2 linked regions of the Oryctolagus cuniculus genome follow. The protein of the gene in region 1 binds, or shares a complex with, the protein of each later gene. Each region holds a gene or a part of one and is shown in the gene's direction. Other genes may lie near its edges.

What was found.
Region 2: the proteins of ATP2A1 (region 1) and SLN are in contact, whole or in part, in a crystal structure (PDB 3W5A), measured with the Oryctolagus cuniculus proteins. Residues at the interface, in XP_069919846.1 of Oryctolagus cuniculus: Phe88, Val89, Leu96, Ala100, Ile103, Val104, Trp107, Arg110, Asn111, Asn114, Arg324, Lys328, Trp794, Leu797, Gly801, Leu802, Thr805, Ala806, Phe809, Trp932, Ser936, Leu939, Leu943, Leu946, Ile947, Val950, Pro952, Leu953, Ile956; in NP_001075856.1 of Oryctolagus cuniculus: Met1, Glu2, Arg3, Ser4, Thr5, Arg6, Glu7, Leu8, Leu10, Asn11, Phe12, Val14, Val15, Thr18, Val19, Leu21, Ile22, Trp23, Leu25, Val26, Tyr29.

The regions. Positions count from the first base shown.
Region 1 is NC_091450.1:7,719,178-7,722,983, forward strand, and holds part of ATP2A1 (sarcoplasmic/endoplasmic reticulum calcium ATPase 1), read left to right. Parts: intron 1-426; coding exon 427-565; intron 566-2,272; coding exon 2,273-2,353; intron 2,354-3,035; coding exon 3,036-3,121; intron 3,122-3,260; coding exon 3,261-3,558; intron 3,559-3,725; coding exon 3,726-3,806. UniProt on the Homo sapiens protein: Key regulator of striated muscle performance by acting as the major Ca(2+) ATPase responsible for the reuptake of cytosolic Ca(2+) into the sarcoplasmic reticulum.
Region 2 is NC_091432.1:99,520,852-99,525,410, reverse strand, and holds the start of SLN (sarcolipin), read left to right. Parts: upstream 1-1,697; 5' UTR 1,698-1,791; intron 1,792-4,559. UniProt on the Homo sapiens protein: Reversibly inhibits the activity of ATP2A1/SERCA1 and ATP2A2/SERCA2 in sarcoplasmic reticulum by decreasing the apparent affinity of the ATPase for Ca(2+). Also inhibits the activity of ATP2A3/SERCA3.

The DNA.
Region 1 (3,806 bases):
GCCAAACTGAATGAGTCGCAGCGTATGAGTGCGGGTGCCAAGGGGGGAATTCCTCACGTGCTCCTCTGATTTCCTTCCACCTCTTTCTTCTCCACCCTCTGCCTTTTCTGGTTTCTGCTTTTTTAATTTTCTTTGGTTCTTCTTTCTTCTCCCCCAAAAAACCGTCTCTACCTGTTTACAGCCACCACACACCCATACCCACACCCTCACCGCACACGCACACCCCTGTCCTCCTGTGGGGTCTTGAGCACTCCCTGGCTCTGAGAGCCAACACTGCCTAGCCCTGCCCCCTCTGCGAGGTCCCCACCTCTCAGGCCCCAGCCCCCCCCCCCCCCGCCCCGGCTCCGCTCCTCCATCACTCCCCACTCCCCCTCAGCCCCAGCCCCTGCCTTCTCATGGCCGGCTCCTCTTGCCCTGTGCCATCAGGAGCGGAACGCTGAGAACGCCATAGAGGCGCTGAAGGAATATGAGCCCGAGATGGGGAAGGTGTACCGGGCTGACCGCAAGTCAGTGCAAAGGATCAAGGCTCGGGACATCGTCCCCGGGGACATCGTGGAGGTGGCGGGTGAGTGACGCGGGCGGTAACCTCGGGTGGGGTCTGGGCGCTCCTTCCCAGACTCCTTGGGAGGTCACACCAGGTAGCAGTGCTCCGGGCCGAGTTGCCACAGGAACAGCCAGTCCTGTCCCTGAGGCTACAGGCAGACCCCCGGCTCCCCCTCCACTCCCCCAGCACTTGCATGCAACAGGTGGAACCCAGGCCCTGCCAACGGCCCCATCTCCACCCCCTCCCGAGGCCTGGCCTTCCCTCTCCTTCCTTCCACCCCCAAGCTTGGTCAGCTTTCTGTCTTGACCTCTCTGTGCCCTTGAGGCCTCTCCGAGGGGAAGGAGCGAGGGTAGAAGGGAGGAGGGGGGCCAAAGGCTCGAGCCCCCGGCCATGTATGGGAAACTCAGGCCCCAGCCCGCAAGCACGGGACCAGGGAGGAGGCGAGCCCAAGGAGGGCCCCGCCCCAGTGAGGGACACTTAATTCCTGCCCGGGGAGGGGTGGGGGCCGAGTGACTAAGATGACTGGGATTCTGCCCCCTTCAGCGGTTTTTATATTTGCCCCGAGCAGGCCTCCCCACGTCTCCAGGCCCCTGGCACTGGGACCGCGTCTTCCTAGGCCTCTGCCCTCCCTAGACACCCGAGTCGCCGCTACCCTGGGAAGCTTGGGGCGAGGGAGTGAGGGCGGGCTGGAGACCCCGGCATCCCATCACAGGGCCGACTTGCCACCGTGACAGCTTGGAGTCAGCACCATGAATGTCTATAAATATCGCCTGGGCTTGGGTGACAGGGTGTCCCGCCCAGCGCCACCGCAGCCGCCGCTTCCTCCGGCCTGGCTGCGGAGGGAAATCCACCAAGCCCTGCCCCAGTGTCGTCTGTGGGGGCCAGGGTGGAATCGAGCAGAGCCTCCGGGAGGGGTGCAGCCTCTTTTACAGGCCCCTAAGGCTGGTGGGGGCGCCCAGCCTTTAGTACTCCCCAAGGTGGTCTCCGGGCTGACCCAGCCGGCCCCCATGTGTCTCCCGGCCAGGCCTCTGCGTGTCCCAGCTGCAGCACGTTGCTGCAGTTTCTGCTTTTCCAAGCCCACCTTGTTTCCTCTCTGGCCCACCCCCAGCCCCTGATTTCCGTCAGCTGCCCAGGCTGAGGGGCTCCCGATACGCGGTCCCCTCCGAGACTCACCCCACACCTGCTCCCTCTCCGCTGGCCTCCTCCCTCGTCGCCTTCCCTCTCTCCTGCTTCCTGCTGCACTGTTTCTCTCCGTTAACCTTGACTTTCTGGAGTTTTCCCTCACGTCTTCCCGCCTTCCCCTGCCTTCTCACCCTGGCAATTCGCTCTGACACCCCTGCTCCCACTTCTTTGGGTGCTTTTTTACCTCACTCTGCCCCCCCCTGCCTCTCTGTTCTCCTTTCTCTCTGTACATCCGATCTGTCCCCAGTTGCCCCTTCGGTTGTTCAGGGGACACTAACTGAGCACCTACTGTGTGCCAGGCAGGATGCTGGGCCCTTCCTATCGTGGGAAGCATTCTACAATGGGGGGCAGGAGAATTGGGGGTCCCAGGGGTGCTTTCTGGGGGCTGTAGGAGCACCTGCCGAAGGCCTGACCTAAGCCCAGGACCGGGCCCCAGCCTTGAATCCCAAAGGATGGGTGAGGTGAGGGGCTTGGACAAAGCCTGGGCTTTTCTTAGGTAGGGAGAAGATACCATTCCCAGCTGACCTCACTTTGCTCTCTCCACAGTTGGGGACAAAGTCCCTGCAGACATCCGCATCCTGTCTATCAAGTCCACCACCCTCCGCGTGGACCAGTCCATCCTGACAGGTGTGCGGGCTGGGGGGACAGGCAGGGAGGAGGAGCCTCTGCTGGCCTCCTCCATCATCCGGGGCCCTGGGGAGAGGCCGCACGTTAGGGCCCCTTTGCCATGTGGCCGTCGGCCCACCTCTTCCACGGGGACGTAGTCACAGCCACACCTGGACAGCTGTGCCGCCTCCTTTGGTGTCCTCAGAGGTCCTCGAGCGAGGGACCATGGGGTTCCAGGGGAAAGTGCAGGGTGTGGATGTCCCCCCCAGTCTCAGCTGCATCCCTTCCTCCCCTGGGAGGCGGCGAGCAGAGCTGGAGAACATTCCCTGTGGTCCAAGCAGGCCAGGCCGGGCTGGCCCAGGAGCCGTGAGGGGGCGGGGACCTGTCCCTCCCAGGGGTGTGACCCACACTGGACAGTGCACCTCTGCATACATCGGCTGCTTTGATTGTCACCAAAACACAGCGCTCAAGTGTCCCCATTTTTCAGAGGGGCAAATGGAGGTTAAGCGCGCAACGTTGTGCAGCTGGCGAGACAAGGGCTTCCTGCTCCAGTGCAGCCCCTCCCAGGGCCCAGCCTGCCTGCAGGGCCGTCGCTGGGTCCTGGCCAGGCCCTGTCCCTGCTGAGCAGGGAGGGCGTGGGGTGGGGTGGGAGTCAGGGAGAAGGAGGTGATGTCACCTGAAAGACCCGGCCCCTTCTCCGCAGGCGAGTCCGTGTCCGTCATCAAGCACACGGAGCCAGTCCCTGACCCGCGGGCTGTCAACCAGGACAAGAAGAACATGCTTTTCTCGGTGAGCAGCCCGGGGCCAGCTGTCGCGTGCTCCAGCCAGGAGCCCAGCTCTGGGAGGAAGATGGAGGAGGCGTGGGAAGAGAGAGAAGGGGGGCGGGGCACCCCTAGCCCAACGCCTTGCCTCTCCTTCACCTTCCCAGGGTACCAACATCGCGGCCGGCAAGGCCCTGGGCATCGTGGCCACCACCGGCGTGAGCACCGAGATCGGGAAGATCCGTGACCAGATGGCCGCCACGGAGCAGGACAAGACGCCGCTGCAGCAGAAGCTGGATGAGTTCGGGGAGCAGCTGTCCAAGGTCATCTCCCTCATCTGCGTGGCCGTGTGGCTTATCAACATCGGCCACTTCAACGACCCCGTCCACGGGGGCTCCTGGATCCGCGGTGCCATCTACTACTTCAAGATCGCCGTGGCCTTGGCTGTGGCTGCGATCCCAGAAGGTAACGGCAGCCTCTTTCTCCTCCTGTTTGTAAGTCTCATCAGCAAAGGCTGTCTTCCCAGATGTCTCGGTGCCAGGTGCCAGGGGTCAGGAGCTGATAGCCTTGGGGGCCACAGCAGGTCTCCTGGCCCCTCCCTGGGGGTCGCTTCCTCACCGCCCTCCCCGCAGGTCTTCCCGCTGTCATCACTACCTGCCTGGCCCTGGGCACCCGCCGGATGGCGAAGAAGAACGCCATCGTGAGGAGCCTGC
Region 2 (4,559 bases), on another chromosome or scaffold:
GAAATGGGCCAGTTACAAACTAACATTTATTTTTATGAAGAACAGGTCCTGCTTTTAAAACAACCAAGCAAAATTACCCATAGTCTATAACCACCTGGGGGCATGTTATACCTTGTAGACAATTTAAACTTTTGGGTCACCTGTCACAAGGCCAAAGCCAGAAGCCAGGAACTCAGTCCTCATCTCCCACACGGGTGACAAGGACCTGATTATCTGAATCATCACCTGCTGAACTACTAGAGTGTGCCATTAGCAGGAAGCTAGAGCTGAGGACAGAGCTGGAAATTGAACCAGGCACTCTGATATTCTATGCAAGAGTCCTGAGGAGCCAAATGCCCAAGCCTGGGATGTATGACTTTGATTAACCCTGACTGGGAATTCAGAGGGGGATTGCTCTATTATAAAGAAGGGATTTGCTGAGCAAACACAACTGCTGGGGTCAGATTTAAGGTGCTTAACTGACTTATTTTGAAGTCCAATTAAACCCTTCAGAGGCTCTATTTATCTTCAAACATCTGATTTGTTGGTTGCAAACTCATTTAGCCTGTATTCATAAAGAAAGTTATATAATTTGACATCTTCCACATTTATTCAATAACTCAGGTTTTTCAAAAATTTTGACCAGTTCTATTTCTAGCCCCAATCTATCGAAATGACTATGTCTTGCCATTTGAATTTACTGCTATATTAGTTTACTGACAGAGATAGACAAACCACGCCTCTCTCAGCTGTTTCAGATGAAACTGTAGATTAAGGTGTAAACTTGCAATGCACTGTTTAGCTGGAAAGTTATGGGGAGCAGGTGATGGAAGAGATAACTTTCACTGTTTGGACTAAAGTCAATTTTGAAGCAGCTCAAGATGTCTTTTGAATTCTGGATCGTGGTGTGTGTGTGTGTGTGTGTGTGTGTGTGTGTGTGTGTTGGAGAGAGAGAGAGAGAACTCTTTATATTGCAAACAGCTAAAGATATAGGTGGTAACACAAAGTCACATCTTTACACCTAGGCCTGCTCAGTAGTGGGAGTGGCCAGATGCTGCACTGATTTTTAAAAATTATTTTATCTGGCTGGCGCCGCAGCTCATTAGGCTAATCCTCTGCCTTGCGGCGCCGGCACACCGGGTTCTAGTCCCGGTCGGGACGCCGGATTCTGGCCCGGTTGCCCCTCTTCCAGTCCAGCTCTCTGCTGTGGCCCGGGAGTGCAGTGAAGGATGGCCCAAGTCCTTGGGCCCTGCACCCCATGGGAGACCAGGATAAGTACCTGGCTCCTGCCATCGGATCAGCGCGGTGCGCCGGCCGTGGCGGCCATTGGAGGGTGAACCAATGGCAAAGGAAGACCTTTCTCTCTGTCTCTCTCTCTCTCACTGTCCACTCTGCCTGTCAAAAAAAAAATTATTTTATCACTAATGGTTTGTGATGTTTTTAAAGATAAGTTAGATGTATTCATGAAAATGCAAAGGATCAATTTAAAATCCACATCAAGTGCACCAAAAGGGAACTGGAAATAGAAGTTTTAGTGCCCTTTGATGTTTAAATAAATTGGCAACCGAAGAAACAGTCTTAGTCAACATATTTCCAAGTCCCCCTGAACACAAATAGCCTCAAACCTTCAGGGTTATTCCTTTCAGCTGTTTCATCAGTGACATCACAGTGTCACCTCCCTTGGACTACTTTAGGCCCTGCCCAGAGCCCAGGAGTCCACACAGCCTGGGAGATGAGCCGGAGTTGGAGCCAGAGTTGGAGAAAGTAAGGAGAAACCTACAGCAGCCAACGTGTGTCCTTGACCTTCTTCAGGTAACAGCAAGGTTTTTAGGCTTAGCATAGGGTGCATGTGTGTGTGTGTGTGTGTGTGTGTGTGTGCAAGTTTTAAATGAGAAAGGCAGAATGTTTACATATCTTAATAAAATAGGCAATACCTACCTTAAGATGTAAAGTCATTCCTATTTTCTTCATGCATGTTTCCCCTTCCGATAGTTACAAAACTTTCTTTATAGCACAGAAGAAAGTCTTTAATTTTCTCAAAGACTCCATTGATTCCAAAGTCAAACTTCCTGTCCAATTTATTCATAGATTTTTGGTTTTCAGTTCATCCATATGGCAATCTCTTTGGATCATATGGCATGAACTTGACTTCAGGAAAGGTTTAAGTTGAAGCCAATAGAACTTGATTGATCTGGATTTTTGCCTAAATTTGGATATTCCTAAAAGGCATAAATGTGTGTGTGAGTAAAGTCTACAGTTAATTGTGAGCACACATATTGAAAGAAATGGATTCTTTAGAAATTGTCATCTTAACTGTGTTCTAGTCATTTAAAGAATACACGAAATAATAAATACTTAAGTTCACCATCAAAGTGCAAAAAATAGTAGGAGGTAAAGCAGAGGAAAGAAAGAATAATAATAGATAGCCTGTCAATTCAGAGATGACTATAAAGCAATATGAAGAACACATAAAACATACACAGTTTAAGACATAATTTTAGGGTATCAATTGTATAGCTGTCACCCAGGGCAGGAAGCAGTTCCTTGTTAGCATCCCAGAAATCTGTGCCTGATTACCTCCCCTGCTGTCCCAAGATGTTGAGATCATCTTGTCCTGGTTTTTATTTAAAATTTTACTAACCTTAATATTGCGATAAAGTTCCATGTTTTTTATGTTAAATAGATGGAGTCATTTTGTTCTCTTGCAAACTATCTTACACCCAACAATTATATTTCTGAGATCCACACATTTTTGTTTTGTGTAGCTATAACTGAAATCCATGTATTTTCTTTCTACTCTAGTATTAAAATGTATCAATATGCCAAGTTCTACTATTATTTCCAATTTGGGATTATTGTGAAAATGTTTCTGTGAATACCCTTGTATATGTGTCCTGGTGCGTATGCACTTAAGCATCTGGGGTGGAAGTAAAATTGTTAGATACTAGGAGATGAGCATTTTTAAGCTTCAAAAATGTCAAATAGTTTCCCAAAGTGGTTGAAAATTCACACTAATTTTGTTTATTCAGACTAGTTCTTCGCCAGTGATAACTCTTTCTTGTAATCACTCCTTTGGAGTGACCACAATCCTAGTAACTAGTTCCAGTCAGCCATTCCTAGGCCTGCCTCTAATTTGCTGCCTTTAATGTGCCACCACACAAACAACTTAACCATTCTCTAAAAGTTATTTTTTTCCAGCTGTAATCTTGGGGGAGATAAAAATCACAATAATACTTATGTGAGTTTTTGTGAAGATAACAAAAGCATTTTTCTTATTTCCTGTTAGGCCATCATCCAAGACTCCCTTTACTTAAGAGCTTAATTTAAACAGCAGATTTGGTGGAGCAATTATTTTCCTCCCCCTGAATTGGGTTGTTTTGATCATTAAATACAGGATATTTACTGTATATCTGGAGAAGTTACCCAAGAAAGTGGGTATTTGGACCAGGGTTTGATTTCATTTAGAAAATCCTAAGGGAGAGTCTGTCTTTGTTTCTCATTCCTTTGCCTTTGCTCCTTGACTGGACTCACTGCCCTCCTGTTGCCTTCTTGCACTTGCTCTCCTCCTTTATGCGTTAATTTTCTTCTGTTCATTTTCTCCTCCAAGCAAATGTCTGTAAAGATTTTCATTAGCAATGTAGTACTTCCTTCATGCTGAGGGCCAAACGATGGATAAGAATTAAGAGGGAAATGAAACATTAACCAGTCTCATTCACCATATTTTGAACCAAGATTCAATAACCTAGAGGTTGCTATCATCTGACTTAATCTGCTCTACCAACAAGTATGCAATATGAACAATGACTATTCATATGTTATTTATGCAATTAATAATTTGGCCATTCATAAGTAATAAATATAGTAGTTATAATTAATAATTTATCATAAGCTAATAACTTGCTAGCAACCCTTTCAGTTCCTGGAGCTCCCACCCTTAACAAACACCTTTCTTCTTTAAAACTTTTCACTCCACAGTAGACTTTTGTTGTAAATATCTAAAGTATAGATATCTAAGAATCTAAAGTACCTAACATATCCAAGTCTTTCATTTAGACCACATAGCAAAATGCCAGTTATATCTCATCACTAAAGTAATAGATTGACTGTAGTGCATGCATTCTCAAAGTATGATTCCCTGCATGTACAATCTGTACACCCTAAGAGGATACCATCCCTGCTCTTTGAAGTGTTTACAATCTAGGCACATCCTGGACTGGACTAAAAATAGCTGGCGCAATCCCTTTTTGAAATAGGAGTACCCATGAGGTTAACACTTGCTCTCTGGACTGAGTATCTGTTGTGTGAGGGACTTTTGATTGACCCTAGTAGGCTCTGTGCCCTGTGCAGGGCTTGTCAGAAGCCACGCAGCTGTTGAAACTGCTTTTCACCAAGGTTGGATGAAGACTTAAAGCAGCCTGAAACTAGAAATATTATGATCTCCCATGCCTATATGGGAAGTCAAAGCAGGAACAACACTGGACCGGAACATTTTTCTGTTTTGGTGCCTTGTATGGTGATCCTTTAAGTTAGCAAAGAGGACACACATACACACACACATTAATCTGAGAGAGAAAAATGTA